Astyanax mexicanus: one gene and its partner. The main gene of each other region encodes a partner of the protein of the gene in region 2 in a complex. Links are inferred from orthologs where the notes say so. Each region holds a gene or a part of one and is shown on either strand. Other genes may lie near its edges.

Region 1 (9,838 bases), about 10 Mb from region 2:
TTTCTTAGCACATTTTTTTACACATTGAAAATCATATTTAGAATTCTAAATTTTAAAAACAAACTAACACATTACACTGTATCCATGTGAATGTTTGAATGTCTTTATAAATATTCTGCTAAGCCTGGTGATCTTTCTGCTTACCATGCTCAATAGCATTCACACGGCGGTTGGTGATCTTGATGGCCTCATCCAAGGTGACAAAAGAGGTCTGCAAAAAAATAAATAAATAAATAAATAAATATTGGGGGAAAAGTCCAATAGTAATGTCTGCTGCCCCTGCTAGCAGTTTTACTCTGAGCAACAGACAAAATAAGTTACTACATATACCTTTTTTAATCTCCATGGTACAGTCATATATAAATCAGTCAAAGTGATCACTGAAGACATGGAGACTTGTCAGAGGATGATATTCAAAGCCAACAAAAGGCTACTAAAGCCAAACGCATGCTGCTGTTTATGACCAAGATGGAACTGGGAATTTCCCAACCCCTCCAGCTCATAATTACCACTTGGAATGTTCAACTCAGATACAGCCAAGTTATATAATATTGCTAAATGTTAAATAAAAGTATTTTTAAATAGACATAACAAAGAGCTATCAAGTACTGTGCGCTGCTTAATTCATAATGTCTATTACTGATATGATATAGTTAATAATAAAGTAATATTTAATTTCATTTATTGCATTAAACTGCCTACAACTAAATAAACAATTATTTTAATCAAATGTATTCCTCTTAACAGCTGTTCTTTCACACACACCAGTCACACAAGCCCCAGCTTAGTGTGACAATTTTTACATGACACCACAGACCACACACCCTATTCAATTTATCTTTTTTTTATTGCAGGAGATTAAAAGTTTCCAGATTCAGTAAAACCAACTGTGAGCTGATTACTGAAAACATTACTGCCTGAGTTCTCCTTTCACCAACATTATGAAGAGTTTAAATATTTGATCCTATTCTGCGTTGAGTTAAATTTTTCTGTGGTAAATAATGTGTATACAAAAAGTCATAGTGTGAAACTTTTACACAAAGCCTTCATAGAAACCTATAAACCAAACACTAAATCAACCTGGGACACAATGTTGATGGACAGTCACCCTCAACAGAAATTCTCCATTTCAGCTTCATGTATTAATGATATTTAATAGATAACTCCAGCACCCCCTACCTGCAGAGAGGCCAATTCCACCAGCAGCTCTACAGCTTTAGCGTAGTTTCTCTTCAGCCTGGACAGCTGCTCTCCACCTCTGGCCAGACCAGTCAGTTCATAACCTATAGAGTGTGTGAAATGTGAACATTTGATGTTTGTGATGTGGTTCAATTATTGTATGCACTGTAATTTGTGTGAGACCATATAATTTTATCCAAACTTACTGTCTCCTCCCTCCTGGTAGTGCTCAAACACAGGCAGAGTCACACCTGGGGGGCAAATGAAGCAAAATACAGTTAGGGCCGTTATTCATGCATAAAAAAATAATACAAACATTTTAAAATCTGCTGAAAAACATTTAAGTTAACAAAACTAAAACTAGTTGAGGTTTGAACTTAATAATTCCTTGGCAATTTCTCAGTGAAGCAAATTTAAATGAAGTTTATTCAGACCTGCAACATTGTCCTTTTTGGCTCGAACCTTGACCTGGGCCTTGTTCACATTCTGGATAACCGTAGTGCTGAGACAAACACACATCCATGAGCTCAGGAGTCAAACTTACTTTCACAAACACATTATCATTAACATTAAATATAAGCGCAAGCTGCTCATACCTAAAGTCACCAGCAGCAAATTTGGCTTCAGCTAAAGAAAAAGCAGCTTCTCTCATCACTTCTCCCATCAGCGTCTTGGTCTAAGAAACAAAGGGAAACAGGGTAAGCAATGAAAAAATATTTACAGCTATTTACATTTTTTCTCACATTATTACATGTTTACAGCATGACATACTCATTAATATAAGCATTTAAAATATTTATTTTCTCATGTTTCTACCTCAATGATCTTCCTGAGAATCTGCCGGAAACGCATGGAAAGGGCGTCAGCTTTTTTCTTCAGCAGGTTCCTCCCTGTCTGAGCTCCTTTCAGTCGAGCCTTCATAATGGTCTGAGCCCTAAAACCATCGACACAAACAGTCATTAATTATACAATTAAAAATACAGTGTGCAACAACAGTCATTTGCTTTTGTGTTCATGAGTTTAAGAGGAACTTGCTTAGTCAGACTTGTTCACAGTGGTGGTGAATGGAACAAAATGCTTAAAGAGTTTTATGTGTTTAAAAGCTCCCCCTCAGAAATTATTATGAATTCGTCATTTGATGTCTAGACACTGTTTATCAACAGTTAAAGAGTTTATTGGACTGTGTTGCAGTAAATATACACTTGGTGATCTCAAATTAATCCCTACAAAATACTCCATTTCCATCTTTAACATTACATATACAGCTAAGAGGACGTGCACAGAATCACTGGTGGTTGCAGACAGTAAATAAAAGGACTATATTTTCTGTATTCACATGGTTACCCCCCAGTTCCTAACACCACCACGAAATCAGCATCAATGCACTTCTCTACAATAAACAATTTTAAACCAAAACAAACTCTTTTTCACCCTGTTTATTTTATATATAAATTGACATTTAAGCTACAATGTAGTAAATACAAATAAAAAAAAACTAATATTAATGAGAATGTTCTGCACATGGTACTGGACTTGTAGTATCAGGTCCACTACAACCCTACTGACTAGACTTGTCACAATAATTACATTATTAACTTATCTTACAGTAAATGGACATGACCTCAATAATATTTTATAATAGTGATATTGTATATTGTGCTTATTTGTATGTTTGTTCACAGTAAACAGTATATTTGCCAGTTTCCATGCTTCAATGACCAATGCTTCAAAAACAGTGACACCACATACACACTGTGGACTGTGTTAGGTAACTAAAAAAGTAAATACACTGCCAGGCCAAAAAAAATGATGTGGGGTTGATGCTGCAGTTGGTCAGGTTTAGGTTTAGCAACAGTTTGTGCTGAAAGAACGAGGTCAGCTGACTACCTGAATATACTGAATATAGACCAGCTTATTCCATCAATCGTTTTTTTCTTCCCTGATGACACGGCCATATTCCAAGATGACAATGTCAGGATTCACTGTTCTGGAATTGTGAAAGTGTGATTCAGGAATCATGAGCTCATTATTTTTACACATGGATTCCAGAGTCCAGATCTGAACCTCATTGAGAATCTTTGGGATGTGCTGGAGAAGACTTTGAGCAGCGGTCAGACGATACCATCATCAATACATCAATAAAAGATCTTGAAGAAAAATTAATGCAACACTGGATGGAAATAAATCTTGTGACATTGCAGAAGATTAATGCAAAAATGCCACAGTGAACGTGTGCCGCAATCAAAGCTAAAGGCGGTCCAACAAAATATTAGTGTGTGTGACCTTTTTTTTTTTTTTTACCCCAAACTATGACTACTTACAATTGTATTGTCTTCAAAAGAATATGAATGCTTCGTTATGCTATTCTAGTATCATTATGTCAGTGTCATTTAAATGGTTTTAAAATGACAATAATATTGGTTATCACAATAATGACAACTACAACTACCCTTTAAGCTCTTCAGCTTCAAACCCTTTCCCCCCTGTGGATGTTCCTCTATGGCCAGAGCCTCACATCACATGATCCTGAATAATACACTTCTGTTTTTCTGTGGGGAGTTATTTCAAACACTGTTCTTATAGTCTAAATTCTGAAAATACAATATTTTAACACACCCTTTAGAGGGACTGTATACACGTATTTAATCTGCACAAAAATATTTTTTATTTGCACAATTACCCTCAGAGAGTCTTATAATGACCTTGCTGGTGGTCCTTAGAATACCACTGTAGAATAAACACACTGCAGACTGGTCCTTTATTCTATTTATATGGCTAGTTGACTGCTACAGTGTAGTAAAATAATACAAAAATAATAATAATGTGTGTGTAACGTTAATCAATGGTCAGTTTTATATTTAGATCAACCCCAGCATTAATAACATTCAGCACAGTTATTATAGTTTAATTATTAGATATTAGAGTATATTGGAGTCTAAACAGTAAATTAAAGGTTATGTTATGTTGATTAATTCGTGTCCTGTAGTCTGTATCTCTAACAGCACAGCACAGCTCTCTCTCGCTTTACTCACATCCTCGAAGGGAAAATGTCGATCCGGTCTTTGCCCGACATCTCGTCGTTTTCCTCCTGATCCCGGCGGGTCTGTGTGTTTATAAAGCGGGGTTTTCTGCTCGACCTGTGGCCTGTTCTGTTCGCATGTAGGTTTTATTCGCAGGAACGCGGCGCTCGGCTTCACTGTTTCACTGAAAATCACATTACAGCTCACAGCGGGTCATGTGACTCACGACCAGCGGCCTTCAGCAAAACACTAAACACAACCTATGATCATTATCATTATTAAAACATAGCTTGGGTTTATTTTACGATTTAATGTAGCAGTAAGCTTTCTTATTAACACAGATTGATCGATTCATAATATATATATAATATATATTTAAAACAGTACAGTTTTACCTAAACTTTTATTTTGAAGTGTGTGTAACCGATAGCTGTAAGGGCAGAGGCGGCTTATGGAGGAACTGCACACTTCCTGTATATCGCCTCTGTTATTTGTCAGTGAACCACTGTAACCACCGCTAGAGGGAGCCCGCGAGTGAGTCCAAAATGAATAGAAGTGAATTGAGCTAAATTGCTAAAACCTTCAATTAAAAATAGTAAATAATATGAATGAAAAACAACTTATAGTGATGTTTAATTTGTCTAGGCTATTAACAATTTGGTACAGTCACCGGTTATAAACAATACAAAACATATAAAGTGTTCACTTATCATGTGTGTAGGTCACATTTCTTCATGACATTTTTTTGTGTTATTATTTTGTGAAGATATAATTATGCATGGATACATATGCATGTGACTGTGTTATTCATAGATACAGGTGATGCATATTATATATGTTTATGTATATGAGCATTTTATATACATCTTTATGCTATGTTTTGTGTACAGACTTCCCAAGTCTTCTGAAAGTGGCGGGAGTCTACCGCATATCAATAACGGCGTGAACACAAACGTGCACGCAGGCAACACAGTTTTTTTCCCCAATCAGGTGTGTAAAAGAGAGGGAGAAAGAGAGAAAGGCGCTGCCCTCCTTGGCATATTCATTAAGGGCATGCAAAACAGAGAAAGTTTTAGTGATATGGATCTACGTATATATTGCTTTAGGGGGCAGGATTAAAAGGGCCTATTGTTTAAACTTTAAACATGCAGTCAACCATTTAATTAAAATCAAAGTAATTAGTGCACTTGCTTCTTTTAAACATACTTATTAAATGTATCTTCCTTGTAGAAAATCAAATAAAGCTGCCTGAGATTGACCAATATATGTTTTATTAGATCCAGAGTTGAAAAAGGATAAAAAATTAAGTTTACTTTGGAAACAGTAGGATTAAAATGACTTGTTTCTTCTAATTTTGTCTTTCAAAGAAAATCTATAAATAAAACAAAAAAGTAACTAATGCAGGGTATTCTTTTAATTTATGAAAGTATAAAGATGCATTTTGCTATATGTATACCTGTCCATTTATCTACAGTACACTGGTTTTAGGCAGTTAATGCGCTAGCATTACTGTTACTGTCTTCTGACTGGTTGGTGGGCTGATGCTGGAGTTACAGTCAGAGTCAGAGACAGTTTTAAAAGGTTTATATCTACAGTTTTAAGTATTTGATATCCTTGTCTTCGTTTGAAAAATGTTAGATATTGTTTCAGTTTTCAGTATAACGGTGATTAAACATTTATAAACTATAACGTTAACTGTTAAATTGCTCCATATAAGCCCATTCATTTTGAACTCGCTCTGGAGCGCCCTCTGGTGGCCCGACAAACGCGGTGTTTTTTAATAGAAATTTCTTAATTGATTTTATTTATACTGACTGTTAATAGAACTAATGATTATACATTTACTGTAAAACCTAGCTAGCTAGCTGGGTCACGTTGCATTTATTTGTCAAATTTGTAGCGTTCCTCGTAAAAATATATATTTTTTTTCCTTCAGGTTATTTTATTACCGCTGGTACCTTAAAAACACCAATTTAATTGTGTTTCATTATTAACATTGTAAAAATATTGTTTATTTGCATGATGTGCAGGAAAAAAAAACTAAATAAAAATCACTGTCCTCTGCATGAAAGAGTATTGGAATAGATGATTTTAAGAATCGACCTCTGCTGATGCATTTTGTCTGTGTGTCAAAACATTGCGATAAATACAGTGTATAATAAAAATATCATATAATATTTTACACCTATAACTGTGTGATTCTATATACTTCAGGCAGTGGCATTCATACTGTTCAGAATTTTATATAAAGTGATATTAAGATTTGTTGTGATAGAGATATGGACGTTTTGTCCAGCATTTAATTTGTATTACTTTTATAGCAATTAGGTGTGAAATTGGCCAGTGGATATGTTGTCCATGCTGTAACTAGTAAGGATGTGGTGTATAAACCACATGAGGATCCTGTAATCTGATATTTGATGTAATATTTCAAATTGTGATTATTTTTATTATTATTTTATTAGTGTTTGTATGTAACTGTTTATTTTTATTTATTAATATAAAAACACAAATATTTAAAAAATGAAAACTTTTATTAAGGACTTTTATGTTGAAGTTACTTCGCGCGGCGCCATGATGTAACTCTCTCTCTGTGCTGTGGATCCATGGCGAACTCCTGATTTACGGAGCCTTTTCTCATCAAAATTTACAATTACCGCCCAGAAACAGACTCTAGACTAACCGCGCTCCCGGGGACGACTCGCTTCAGGTAACACCACTCTCTGGAACTCGCGGCGGGCCGGTTTTATTCAGTATTTATTTATCTAGAAGCAGAAATGTGTTATCTAGCCGAGCTATCTGCTGAACCGCATGGGCTCAATGAGACTGAGTGGTGCAGCTCAGCTCAGCCACTGATACAATAACAGATCTATGGGTATCATTAGATACCTATACATATCACCAGCTTCAGAGACAGAATACAGTACAGCTGGACTAACTAACCCATCTAACTAGACTCGACTGAACCGGTTCTGTAGTTTAACTCTGGTTTAATACTGAACAGCAGCTCCACCCTGTATGAGGGTTATTTAGTTAACTAGGCTCTATTGATTGTAATATCTTATTATTAGACCATTAAACCCAGTTTCACAGGATTATCATCTGAGGATTTGCCTGGATACTAACGCCAGGTTGTAGGTATTTATCCTGCTAGCTTGTGAATTAAGTGAGAAAGTATTTTCAGGTCTTGAAACTCAAAATGCAGTACCAATTCCAACGTCAAAATCATGTTTTTCCACATCATTCCTGATCTACTAGTCAGTGTAATTAGCACTAGTGAGACAATTATTCATTAAAGTTCACACTACATTATTAGTCAGTAATTTCCAGCCCATTTCTCCAATTCATTTATGATTAACCCATTATAGAACCCAGACCCATTTCTGAATATTGATACCAATCAGATAAATTCAGTAAGAAGCTCATTCTTGTTTAGTTTTCTTTTTTTATTATTATTACTGTGGGTGCATGACTGTAAATATTTTAAGATTAAAACCATGATGTAACTTAAATGACACAACAACAATTTCATTACTTGTATGGTTAAAGTGGAGCTGTAAAAGCAAAAACACACATTTTAAATAAGAGAGGTTTATCTCCAGCAGCAGCACTTCTGCGTTCTGTAAATAAGTCCAGATAAACAAACACACTTCCACACACTGTCCTGTGATGCTTTCAGAATGATCAGTATATGCCAGAGGTTCTTCATGAGATAAAATGATTGAGAAAGTACTGTAAGGGACTTAACTCATCTTTTAAATGGTCTGTGACACACACATCACTATGGGCTTATTTGGGTTATCAGACTCGTAAACCCAGTTTCACAGGATAAACATCTGAAGATTTGCCTGGGACGTAAAGCCGTGTTTTTTTAGTAGTAATCCTGGTAACTTGTGAATTAAGTAAGAAATGATTTTAAAATCTTAAAACTCAAATGGGCTTGGGTTCCAAACCCAGTAGTAATTTCAGTGTCAAAATCATGTAAAATCCCACATCATTCCTGATCAACAGATCAGTGTAACAATTAGTATTACTAAGCCATTGCTAACCATGGGGCAATTAGCATAATTATTCAACTTCAATGTCAGTGTTCATAATGACATTGAAAGTGTATGTGAATAATGATTAACTTATATTATTGATTTTATTGTATTGTGATACATTCACTCATCATGTATGCTTTAATAAGCATAATAAAGGATGCTGTTGGTGCCTTAAAAACACACATTTAACTGTTTCATTGCAAGCATTGTAAAAAATGTTATTTGGATGATGTGCAGGAAAACTGAATAAATATCACTGTACTGTGCATGAAAGAGTATTTGAATAGATTTTTTTCAGAATCTACCACTGCGGATAAATTTTGTCTGTGTCAAAACATTGGGATAAATACAGTGCATCATTAAAAAAAGTCTTTAAATATCATATAAAACTGATATTTAGAGTTATTAAGATGGTTATTAAAGTTGTATTGTCCAGCACTCATATTACTATTGTAGCAATGAGGTATGTTATTGGCCAGTGAATATGTTGTTCATGCTCTAAAACAGGGATGGGCAACTTCCATGATGGAGAGGGCCACATTTTTTTCAGCATGACCATTGGAGGGCCACATGACCTCGCACTTCAAATAATTGAATATGAAAAACACTACAAATGATTTTCAATAAGAACAAATTTTATATGAACTTATATCTGTATGTTTACAGCACCAACATTTATCAACAACTATTTTCTGCATATTAATGCATTTTAATACGGCAAAAGACAAACCGTTTGCTTAAAAAAAGTGCAAAAAAGAAGTTTGCTTAAAAAACCGATTGCAAATACAGTAGTTCCTCTGTGTAAAATAAGTTCATTATAACAAGTCCTTCATAAGCAACAAGGACAAAACATTTGCTTATAAATGTGCAAAAGGCATTTGAACTCATTTATAACAAAGAACAAAAAAGATTTAAAAACTGATTGCAAATAGCTCATTCAATAATAGCAGAAAACTAGACCACAGAGGCCCAACATTTATTGAAGCTAATGAGAGAGCTGTGGTTTGGCCTGCTGGCTCACAATGGACTGGATGTCAATGTCAATTTTCGTGGTTGTTTGGCAGCGCCCTCTAGCGGTCAAAAGTAGAATTACGTTTTTTTTTTGTTTTTTTTTTTAAATTATGAAATTATGAAATTATTTTTGATCTATTCGCGGGCCGCACTGAGTGATGACGAGGGCCGTGTGCGGCCCCCGGGCCGCCAGTTGCCCATCCCTGCTCTAAAATATGGAAACAAAAAATTCCGTACGCTGACATTTGATGTTTTTCAGATTGTAATATGCTTTAAATTCTTTTCTCCCAGAAATGCCAGGACTCAGCTGTAGGTTCTACCAGCACCGGTTTCCGGAGGTGGAGGATGTAGTGATGGTAAATGTGCGCTCCATTGCGGAGATGGGTGCCTACGTCAGCTTGCTGGAGTATAACAATATAGAGGGCATGATCCTGCTGAGTGAGCTCTCGCGCAGACGTATTCGCTCCATCAACAAACTGATCCGCATCGGCCGCAATGAATGTGTTGTGGTGATCCGAGTGGACAAAGAGAAAGGTGGGTTTGCTCGTAAAGAGGTTTAAAGAGTGAAGCTTCAGTATAGTATCT
Region 2 (10,315 bases):
TAAGCTATCAGTGCAAGGAACTAAATGGCCAATCCGCCAATTGCAAGGCTTCTTTTTTAACCTTCAGGCCTTGAACCAGCTGACCCCTAAAGAAAAAACATAATCAACCAATTGTGTCACTCACGGGAACAGGGCATCCAACACTCTCTGGCCAGTCAGCAGGGGGTGATTTGCTGGCAGCTTTTCAGTGACAGGTCGCACCTGACGTACAGGCCACACCTGCACCATTGTAAACTTCTCCTTCACGCCCTCGAACTCCAGCTCTAACACCACATCCTAACACACATAGACACACGGACACGCAGACAAATACAGTTCTCATTAATTCTGAACTATTATTAATGCACCGTGGCTTAAAATCAGCTCTCTCCACAGCTCACCGAGACGTCGTAGTTGCCAGGTGGGGCCACATAAGTCACTGTTCCACGGCTTCTGGGTGGCAGCATGATTTTGTGCCTAATCAGAGAGTTCTCAAAAACCATGCCATAGATATCACCTCCAGTTATGTGACTTCCAATCTGAGGAAGAAGACAAAAGAGTGCATTTAAAGAAAATATTTAACTATTAACTAAATCAATAGAAAATATATTTAAAATAATAATATTATGAGGTAGCCCTATGAGAAATGTGTCAGTAGGAAAACTGTCTTAAATCTTTCCTTGTGGAATATGATATAAATAGATATACTATAAATACTACCAATAAATACAATATCGATAAAAGAATAATCCAATTCTATTACAAAGTGAGCACACTAGGCCTGTTTAATCTTTAATGTGATGTTAGCTGTTTGTTTCTACCTGTGGGAAAAAGTTTGAGTACTTTGAGTTTAAGCAGTGCTTAAAAACATACTTCCAGTAATGTCTGCCTATGTTTTTCTTACTGTTGATATTTTTATTCACATGCTTCTTAGTCATAAGTTAAAACAGTGAATTGAGTAATACAAGTTAATCCTTTCAATTACTGAAGGCAGGAGAACCAACAAAAAAATCTTAAAGCCTTACTACTTTGTAATTAGACATTTTTAATTTTATTATTGTTTTGCTGTTCAAGCCTTTAAAAAAAATGAAGGTCATATCTACCGGCTGCAATAAGAAACTAATCTTTTTTTACATACTGATCCCATTTATGGCACGAGACATCAACTGGATAGATATAACGGCTGGATTATTTGACAAACAAGGGGACAGTGACGCTAAGCACCGAAAGTTATTTGAGAACAAACAGCGCACTCTTGTGGTGAATGTTCAGACTGCTAAACAGAAATTAGGAATTTATGATCATGGCAGGTTAATGAGGTGCTATATATCTCAAAAATGTCCTGATTATGTCAATTAACACACTATTTACTTCATGTTCTTCCCAAGATCCTTGCAGTTAAAGTCATTCTCACAATCTACATTCAGGCACATACTCGTAAACTCTTGGATGGAGAAAAATCCCATTTGAGGTCGCGGTTCAGAGCACCAATGTTCACTCCACGGGGGATGTAGATGCTCTTGGTCAGGTCATTGATGTCCTTCAGGGGACGCTGGATACCATCAAATATGGAGCCCATAATTCCTGGTCCCAGCTCGACAGAGAGGGGCTTCCCTGTACGCAGGACAGGGTCTCCAACAGACACACCAGCTGGAAAAGGCTTAGGAAATCTAACACAGTTTAAAGTATTACAGCTAGAATGTGTAAATGATCTATTATAGTGACTCAAATCTTCAGTGATAATCTTCAACTTTCTAAGCTAGAATACATATGTAATAGAGCACACTATACTATACAATACAGTTTACTATAAGGTTATAAGTGCAGTAGGTGCTGAATGGGTATAAAAGGATACAGGTTTCCTCATACACCTGAATAGTGGCCATGTCACCCTCTAAACGGATGATCTCTCCCACCAGCTCACTGTGGCCCACACGCACCAGCTCGTACATAGCTGCCCCAGCCATGCTGGAGGCCGTCACCACTGTGAGGGACACACACAGATACAGGTCACTTACATGTAGCAAATCATGTACTATGACCTATAGAGCAAAGCAGTACAACAACTTTAAAATGCACAAACTGCAAAATTCAGGAACAATTATGTCAATAATTTAAAACCATACTGGTTATACATAGATATAATTCTAATTTAATTACCAGAAATGTAACAAAATAAATAAAGAAAAGATCTTACTTAGTCATTTAGCTGACACTAAAAGTAAGATAAATAGTACTGAAAATGATTAGAATGTTAAAATGTGTTATTCAGAAATACAGTGATTAAATATGGCCCGGCTAAAAATTAAACTAAAAGGGCCAAAAATATTGCTATTACATTTTTGCATAACACATACAGGACACATCAATCCATATTTTTGCGACAGCAGCGCACACTTAATCAATCTGACTGACAAATAAAGCATTGAGTAAATTGGAAAAAAAAAAGAAAAAAACATTACTGTCATTCCACACTATAGACAGATTACTGACCAGGTCCGGACACTCCGTGCACATATCCAAACTGTCCCTCCCGCTCCTCATCTCGAATCTTGGGCAGCTTGGAGAAGTCCATCTTAGAAGTGTGTGTCTAAAATGCAGACAGAATGTGAAGGTGGGCACCATTAGTGAAATACAACAGATTACTGACAATTATAGAGGTATTAGATTACATCAGATTATAGCATAAGCAAAAATTAAAGCTTTTAATTGTCAGCTTTTAAACTGAGAATGTCCTCAAGCTTTATGCAAAAAGAAACAAAAATATTCCTGTGAAGCATTAGAGGGTTTCTGTTCTCCATTTGTTTGATTTCTCCTATTGTGGGTTAACTTGTGACTTTTAAAGCTGGATGGACAGTTACAGAAAGTCTAACTTTACACTAAATTCTTTCATCACAGAAGTAGACCTACCTAATTATTAATGATCAATAATCAAAGATGTCAGAGCATAATTTGTACTAAAAAGCACAAACTATTGAATATAGTAATTAAACTTGATAATGAGAGTTTATTTTATATATTTATTCATTTATTCATGCACACACACCTTAAGGCTTGTTCAATATTTAAGTAAAGTTTATTAATACAAAAATCCTCTTAGTTTATATGAACAGTTATATATGCACCAGATTGTGTGATATTTCTGGGGCAGTGATACAGAAATGTCACATGATGATTACCGTGACTGGCTGTAAAGAGGAAGGGGCTAAACAGACAGTTGAGTAATTCTGGAGAGTTTGCACTCATCCCCAAGATTAGCATTAATAGCTGTAGGGAAACAACCAAACCAAGCAGTTTTAGTTCTCAGTAGTTTTCTAATGTTTCATATAAAATACAATATATGAAAAAACAACCACTAAAACTACATGTGCAAATCGTTACAAAAAAACTAAAAGACCCTCTCATGCAACAAATTCTAATGTAAGATGTCTCATTTTTTTCAATATATGCGCTTTTAAATTTAATCAAGCCAACAAAAATCAGGCTAATTTGTCATTAAGAATGGGTGATATATGTTAAGTGCAACATGATAAATTAGACCATGACAGATTTTGCTAAGCTATATTTGGAGTGTGATATGTACGTCTAAATGAATAAATTAATCGTAAAAAGACAGATTAAGATCAAGCCTTTAAAGAACAACAAACAAATGGTAACAACTGCAAAAACTGCTGATTTGACATCCAATTATGACACTCATTTAATTCAATATATTTTTAACCAATGGCTTGTTTTCAGCTTTTTTTAATGTGCTGTTACTGCTTTGTGGTACTTGTTCAGAAAAAAAAAACACAGAAAGTTAAATATCATCATGCATTTCTTAAAGTATCTTAATATTTCTGGCATTACCACCCACCATCCTACCATGTGATCAACCAACACATGATGTAGGGTATGGACGGATTCTCTCCTGGTAAAGCAACATGATCTCCAGACAGAAACCTGATCGTGTGTGTATTGGTTACCTCGTTATAAGCTTTGCCAGTCAAAACATAAAGAAACAGCATATTTGAGCAGTGCTATAGCTGGCAGAATGCTGCAGTCTAGTATTTGGGCCCAAGCACAGTGACTGCAAGTCTCAGCACTGTCCAGTCACATGACCATGACAGGCTACTGATAACATTTACTGCGATTCTATCTTACAAATAAATGACATCAATACAGCGCAATATAGATACTTTTTAAACATGTCAATTTTAAATATGTTACAATAATTAATAACATGTAAAACTGGTGTGATGGAATTTCCTCCTGCTTTACATTTAACGAGATGACTTAAACGTAGTGTAACGTTAAGCGCATTACCTACTACATATGTGTATAATAAAAATGATAAATTAATTAATATTAATCAGAGACTGCATCGTGTATGTATACAATCCTGGGGCGAGCTTGTAGTTTCCCAAGGTTATAATGGGGGAGGTGCAAAAAAATCGCCAGTTTCATATTCGACCACCGCCGTTCCACCTTAAATACTGCATTGGTTCCATCAACATGCTTCAGGATCGTGTACTTATCTAATGCCCTATTTAAGGTGGAACGGAAATTTCCAACAAGAACCAGGCGATTAAGCAGCTAATTTCAGTCACACACAAATTTCAGCCATTTTAACCAACTACCATTCCGTGTTAAATCTGTAAATAGAGAAATTAAGCCAATTCCCGCAAAAGCTACCATAGTTCATTTAAAGCATTTTGACCGCAGTTAACGTCAATGGAATACGACCGAGAAAAAGCACTGAACGTAGCAGGCTGGCTACCTGCAGCCGAGGCCGCCTTAAACCGACCGAATCAAAACACAGCGAGGAATAAAATAACCCTGACATCAAACTACAATCACTAAATACCTGAAATGATGAGGAGAAGCAGCGATCTGTCGAGTCCGTTCAGCTGAAAATAATGATGAGAAATCAGCAACCAGGAAGGGTCAGCTGACTTCATTCACTCGATGGTTGTAGTGCGCGGTGCTCAGAGATGGAGCTTCACTGCGCCACCTACTGCTATACGGTCAGTATAACGACGTGTTTGAGGCTAAATGCAAAAATGGATAATTGTATGTAAAACTCATTATTTGTCTTTTTTTAATGTTGTGCAGAAATAAGCCTTCATCCATTTTTCCCTTTTTAGATTTTTTTCACCTTTGCCCCTCACAATCGGAATTTCTTTACTATCAGGTTTGTGTTACAAGATACAAGAAATGACAAATCTGAAAGATCAAAAGAAGATTAACCGTTTCATTTTTCTTAAAATTAACTAGCTCTTTACCAGCATAGGGTATGTTTTTTCTGGATGATCTTGAGCTGGATTTTATTTTTTATTTTTTGCAGTAATAAAGAAGCATGTAAAACTATACAAATTTACTGTAATGTTTATACTAATTTTAAAAGATTAAGTTCAATAACGTTTACATTTTGTAAAATAGGTATCAGGTAACTTACAACATTGCACACTTAAATTAATTGTTGCTAAATATCGAATTTGTTAGATAGCGTTATTATAAGTATTTTCTTCGGAAACCTATGCTAAGGTATTTTAAGTAACTTATTTTAAATATATAAAAAAAAGAACTAACTTTTCTATCCGACCCGCATTTCACCCAGAGGTGTCACTGAGCCATAGAGATGGCTCTGATTTCACCTTACCTGTCAGGGACTTTTATTTTGTATACTGAAAGCTTCCATAATGTACGCCACGTCCTGTGCTTTATGTCTCCCCGCCGCTTGTGCAGGATGTGAAGTTCGATTCAGTGAATCGAACCGGTTCTTTGAGCTGAACGTTTTGTTTCAATGCATCAAACGTCCGAGTCAGCGATTCATTGATTTATGAGTCATGCCAACTTTATTCTAATGTCCTCCACACAGCAGAAACCAAGTTATACCAACTTTTATTACTGTTAGATCTGGTCTCTCTTGATAACTAAACTATTTAAAGTAAGTTTTGTCACGTGTGTTAAGATATGTATGTTTTTGTACGTTTAACAGAAGAAAACATAAAACAGCTCAGTAAAAAGAACGGTGTCAGGCTATTTTTTAATAAACTCCTTATGACATGAAATAAAAGATATTGACAGACACAACCGAGTATAATAGTGCATCTCTAAAAAATTAAATGTAATTGAAAAGTTACTCCATTTCAGTAATTTAGTTCAAAATGTGAAATTCGTATATAGATGTAATACACACAGAATGATCTATTTTATGCATTTATTTTTTTATTGTCAATAATTATGGCTTACAGCCAATGAAAACCCAAAAATCACTGTCTCAGAAAAATACAATATTATATAAGACCAATTGGTACTTTTGGCAGTGTGGGCAGTGTGCCAAGTCCTACTAGAAAATGAAATCCGCATCTCCATAAATGTTGTCAGCAAAGGGAAGCATGAAGTGCTGTAAGATTTTCTGGGAAAACACTACCTTTGACTTTGGACTTGATATAACACAGTGGACCAACACCAGCAGATGACATGTCCCTCCAAACCATCACTGACCCTCAGTAAATTTTGCATTTCATTTGGAAATCAAGGAACTAGAGTCTGGAGGAAGAGTGGAGAGACACACAGTCAAGCTGCTTGAGGTCTTGTGTAACGTTTCCACAATCAGTGATGGTTTGGAGAGTCATGTCATCTGCTGGTGTTGAAGTCGGTGCAGTGTTTTCATGCCCTGCTGACAACTTTTATGGAGATGTGGATTTTACACTGCCAAAAGTACCATTTGGTCTAATATAATATTCTAATTTTCTGAGACAATGATGTTTGGGTTTTTATTGGATGTAAAATAGAGCACACTGTGTGTTTTACATCTATATAATATGAGTTTCACATTTTAAACTGAATGACACTAGTTTATTTTCTCAGTGAATATCAGAACATTTCCCATTTTTAAATGTCTTCCCTCATTCAGCTATTTGAAGCCATAGAGAAAGATAGAAACAGAAATAATGACTGACAAATCAGAAAACTTATCTTTAAACAATTAATGTGAGAGGATGTCAGACTTCATTCTGTTAAAAAGTCTTTTCAGAGTCTTTTCAGTCGTGTAGTGTATGGACAGCAGTTAATAACGAAAATAGTCATCAGTTGCAGAAAACTCGAATAGCTGCCAAACACGAGATTCAGCGGGGTACTTTTGAACCGATTCGACTGATCTTCTCAAAAGAACCGACTCAGAAGAAGCGACTCGTTCACGAGTGACAGCAGCGGCGGAGTTGAGCGCTGCTAGTCCTTTAGCCAACATACATGTGGAGGGTCCGGAGAGAGGGTAGCTCTGCACAAACTTAGGACTAATCTTCTCCGGATCGGAAATATACTGTCGACGTCCTTCGCAGCGTTCACCTTATACGTGTTCTCTCCAACATGAAAGGGTGAGTAAAAACTCTGCGTTTGTTCATGGAGACTAAAAGTTTTTTCCCTCCTCCTCCTCTCTTCTTTCAGCAGGGGGAGGGGGAGCTGCTGGCCGCGCTAGCCGCCTCTCGGCGCGGGGTGAGAGGGGAGCGTTCACCACCGAGGACCCTGAATATTTTACTGAGAAAACCTTACAGACTGAAACGTGCTCTGTACAAATAAAGTCCACCCGCTGTTACACGAACCACGGTCCCAGCAGATACACCAAACCGCCGCAAAACCCCGTGTGATGTCTATTAGCTTAGCCTGAGCTGAAGTCTGAAAATGTTGAGTCAGACTATGAAAAGCTATATCGCTGGCTATCATGCTAAGCTAAGCTAAGCTAGATAGCTAGCTAATTCGCTAGCTAACCATGCCTGCTCCACAGTAGCTAATAAATGTGTCTGCCCATTCTTAGCTGACAAAGTAACCAACTACTTCAGCTAGCCAACTTTATAAGTATTATGTGTATTTATATTTCACTAACCGAACGTTTAGTTAACTAGCAAGCATTGAGATAAACCATTTGTGTTCTAAACAGTTTGTGAATAAAGGTGGTAGCTAGGTAACGTAGCTTAGCTTAGCTAGATATGTTGGCTAGCTAAATTCCCCACCTGCTTGCAGCAAGTTAGTTAACTAGCTAACTAAGCTAACGAGCATTGCTGTAGGTTATATTAGTTATTCAGTTCACTAGTACATGACAGACAGTGACGGGAGTGATTTTTTAAGTCAACAATCAGTCGACAAAGTTAAATACACAGGTAAACGTTGTTTAGCTATCATAGCTAGCTAAGCTAGCTACGTTACTTCCAGAACCAGAGTCCAGTCTAGTGATGTAGTTAGTTTACCTACTGATTAGTGTCACCTGTGAACTCTTAAGCCTGATACCTCAGTATTTTTTTTTTATTTATTCAGCATTTAACGTCACCTCAGTTCCCACAGAATGTCCCTTTCACTGCTCAATCCATGTCTATCTGGTGCTGATGCTCTTTCTGTCAGTCAGTGTCCCTTTAGTCACTTTGTGCTGAGCTAGTGAAATATTATGTATGTATACAAGTTGAGTTCAAGTCAAGTAGTTTTATTGTCAATACTGCGTGTGTACAGGAAATTACATTACTCTCCTTCCCAAAAAGATTACAAGAAAGTACAGAAAATAAGATTATAAATATTAAAGAATGGGAGACACTATATGTACAATACAACAAGGACACAGATAGACATACGTGAGACAAAAGACACAAGACAATAGTGCAATAGTGAGGGGGGTGTGATTAAAGAGGGAATGACAGTACAAGTATAAACAGAACCCGAGTTGAGTTAAGCTAATTCCTTTTTTTTGTGTTAAAATTAGTGTCACATTTTTGTGTAGTGTTAAAATTACATATTTTATATTAATGTCTTAGTCTATAAGACTAAAAGAGGAGGATTTAAATACATGCAAAATACAATGGCACTTTTGGCACTGTAAGAGGTGACATGCAAATAAGTCTGGGCGATATTGCAAAAAATACATACAAAATACATAGTATGCATTATAATGTTTTTTGCAAGTTGGTTTGCCAAAACAATGGATACTTTTTATAGCTTGCCTCTTAAGAAATAAACACTGTTTTGTTATTCTGCCTTTAAGACTTATATGCATATAACCTGTGATTTAACTGGTTGTGCTTCATTTAAAAAACAGTCCATGCTGCTGCCAGAAGAGAGGAAGTATGTGTGTACAGTATATGCATGTGTATTTAGTTTTTTTGACACAAAAACACCAAATTGAGAAGTTAAGCTGTTTGCATACAACATGCTTAAAAAAAATTGTGAACTTTTTGCTGTCCTCTCTTACCTTTTCCTACCACTGGCTGTGGGAGTGCAGGCCTAAAAACATGACATGCAGCTGTTATGTCGTCATGGTGCATTAGCATGCAGTCGCCCTATAAATACCTCTGTAGTTCTGGTGTCAAGTGCAGGCGACGCAAACTTGTGGTGAACACTACGACTGATAGTCGTGACAGTGTGCTGGGACAGTGGGGTCAAATCCTCGTAGACAGCTAATTGGGTTAGTTTGATTCCATTGAAATAAGCCTGAGTCTGTGAGAGGGCTCAGAATAACTTGAAATGAAGTCTTGCGGTTGTGCACAGTGGCATACTGCTTATTTAAAGTGTGTAGCGAAATGTATTCTAATAAGTAATGAACAACCAGTTGACCGTTCTGCTCTTGTTCCAGTAGCCGGATCGAGCTGGGGGACGTTACCCCCCACAACATTAAACAGCTGAAACGTCTGAACCAAGTAATCTTCCCTGTCAGCTACAACGACAAGTTCTACAAAGATGTGCTGGAAGTAGGAGAGCTTGCTAAGCTAGGTAAGACTGAGAGAACTCACTGTGTAGATGCAGGCTTATAACACAGACTTATTGCTCATCACTTGTTTGAACGTGTGTGTGAGAGAGAGATTGCGAAAGAAAAGCAAAGATGGATTGTGCAGAAAACTATTTATATTGTAACTACTGCTAGAACTAAAACAAGGTAATATAAAAAAAACTTTGTGTAAACGGCTAATATCCCATCAACAACTTGATACAATGCACTTAAGTATTTGCACATTATAAATGTTCTAATTCTTTCTTTATTGTGATTTATGCAGTTGTTTACTGTATTAAAACATTTTAATTAGAACATTTTCTGAGCACAGTTAATAATCGTAATTTTCATTATTCATGTTGGTTTCTTTATTTTTCAGCATACTTCAATGACATTGCTGTGGGGGCAGTGTGCTGTAGGGTGGATCACTCCCAAAACCAAAAGAGATTGTACATAATGACACTCGGCTGCCTAGCACCCTACCGCAGACTGGGCATAGGTAGGGCTATTTTGTTGAAAGCATGGTTTGAGAGCTATTCCATAGCATCTGTGTCAAATGTCAACCCATTTAAAATTATGTTAAAATAATTGATTTAACAAACA

What was found.
Region 1: the proteins of atp6v1ab (region 2) and atp6v1d are in contact, whole or in part, in a cryo-EM structure (PDB 9B8P), measured with the Rattus norvegicus proteins. The link is inferred for Astyanax mexicanus from reciprocal best matches to the Homo sapiens genes ATP6V1A and ATP6V1D. Residues at the interface, in NP_001101788.1 of Rattus norvegicus: Ala366, Met368, Pro369, Ala370, Asp371, Ser372, Asp416, Ser418, Asp436, Lys438, Glu491, Gln494, Leu495, Val496; in NP_955418.1 of Rattus norvegicus: Lys4, Asp5, Arg6, Arg167, Ala171, Val175, Ile176, Arg179, Tyr186, Glu190, Arg194, Glu197, Tyr200, Arg201, Lys204, Ile205, Lys208.

The regions. Positions count from the first base shown.
Region 1 is NC_064408.1:85,780,938-85,790,775, forward strand, and holds the start of atp6v1d (V-type proton ATPase subunit D), read right to left. Parts: upstream 4,425-9,838; 5' UTR 4,253-4,424; coding exon 4,212-4,252; intron 2,114-4,211; coding exon 1,996-2,113; intron 1,856-1,995; coding exon 1,776-1,855; intron 1,682-1,775; coding exon 1,614-1,681; intron 1,431-1,613; coding exon 1,386-1,430; intron 1,284-1,385; coding exon 1,180-1,283; intron 212-1,179; coding exon 145-211; intron 1-144. Other genes in the region: eif2s1b (eukaryotic translation initiation factor 2 subunit 1b), read left to right, coding at 9,547-9,787. UniProt on the Homo sapiens protein: Subunit of the V1 complex of vacuolar(H+)-ATPase (V-ATPase), a multisubunit enzyme composed of a peripheral complex (V1) that hydrolyzes ATP and a membrane integral complex (V0) that translocates protons.
Region 2 is NC_064408.1:95,982,615-95,992,929, forward strand, and holds the start of atp6v1ab (V-type proton ATPase catalytic subunit A), read right to left. Parts: upstream 4,953-10,315; 5' UTR 4,826-4,952; intron 2,570-4,825; 5' UTR 2,555-2,569; coding exon 2,473-2,554; intron 1,964-2,472; coding exon 1,835-1,963; intron 1,630-1,834; coding exon 1,415-1,629; intron 519-1,414; coding exon 381-518; intron 277-380; coding exon 125-276; intron 1-124. Other genes in the region: naa50 (N-alpha-acetyltransferase 50), read left to right, coding at 7,333-7,340, 9,578-9,714, 10,092-10,211. UniProt on the Homo sapiens protein: Catalytic subunit of the V1 complex of vacuolar(H+)-ATPase (V-ATPase), a multisubunit enzyme composed of a peripheral complex (V1) that hydrolyzes ATP and a membrane integral complex (V0) that translocates protons.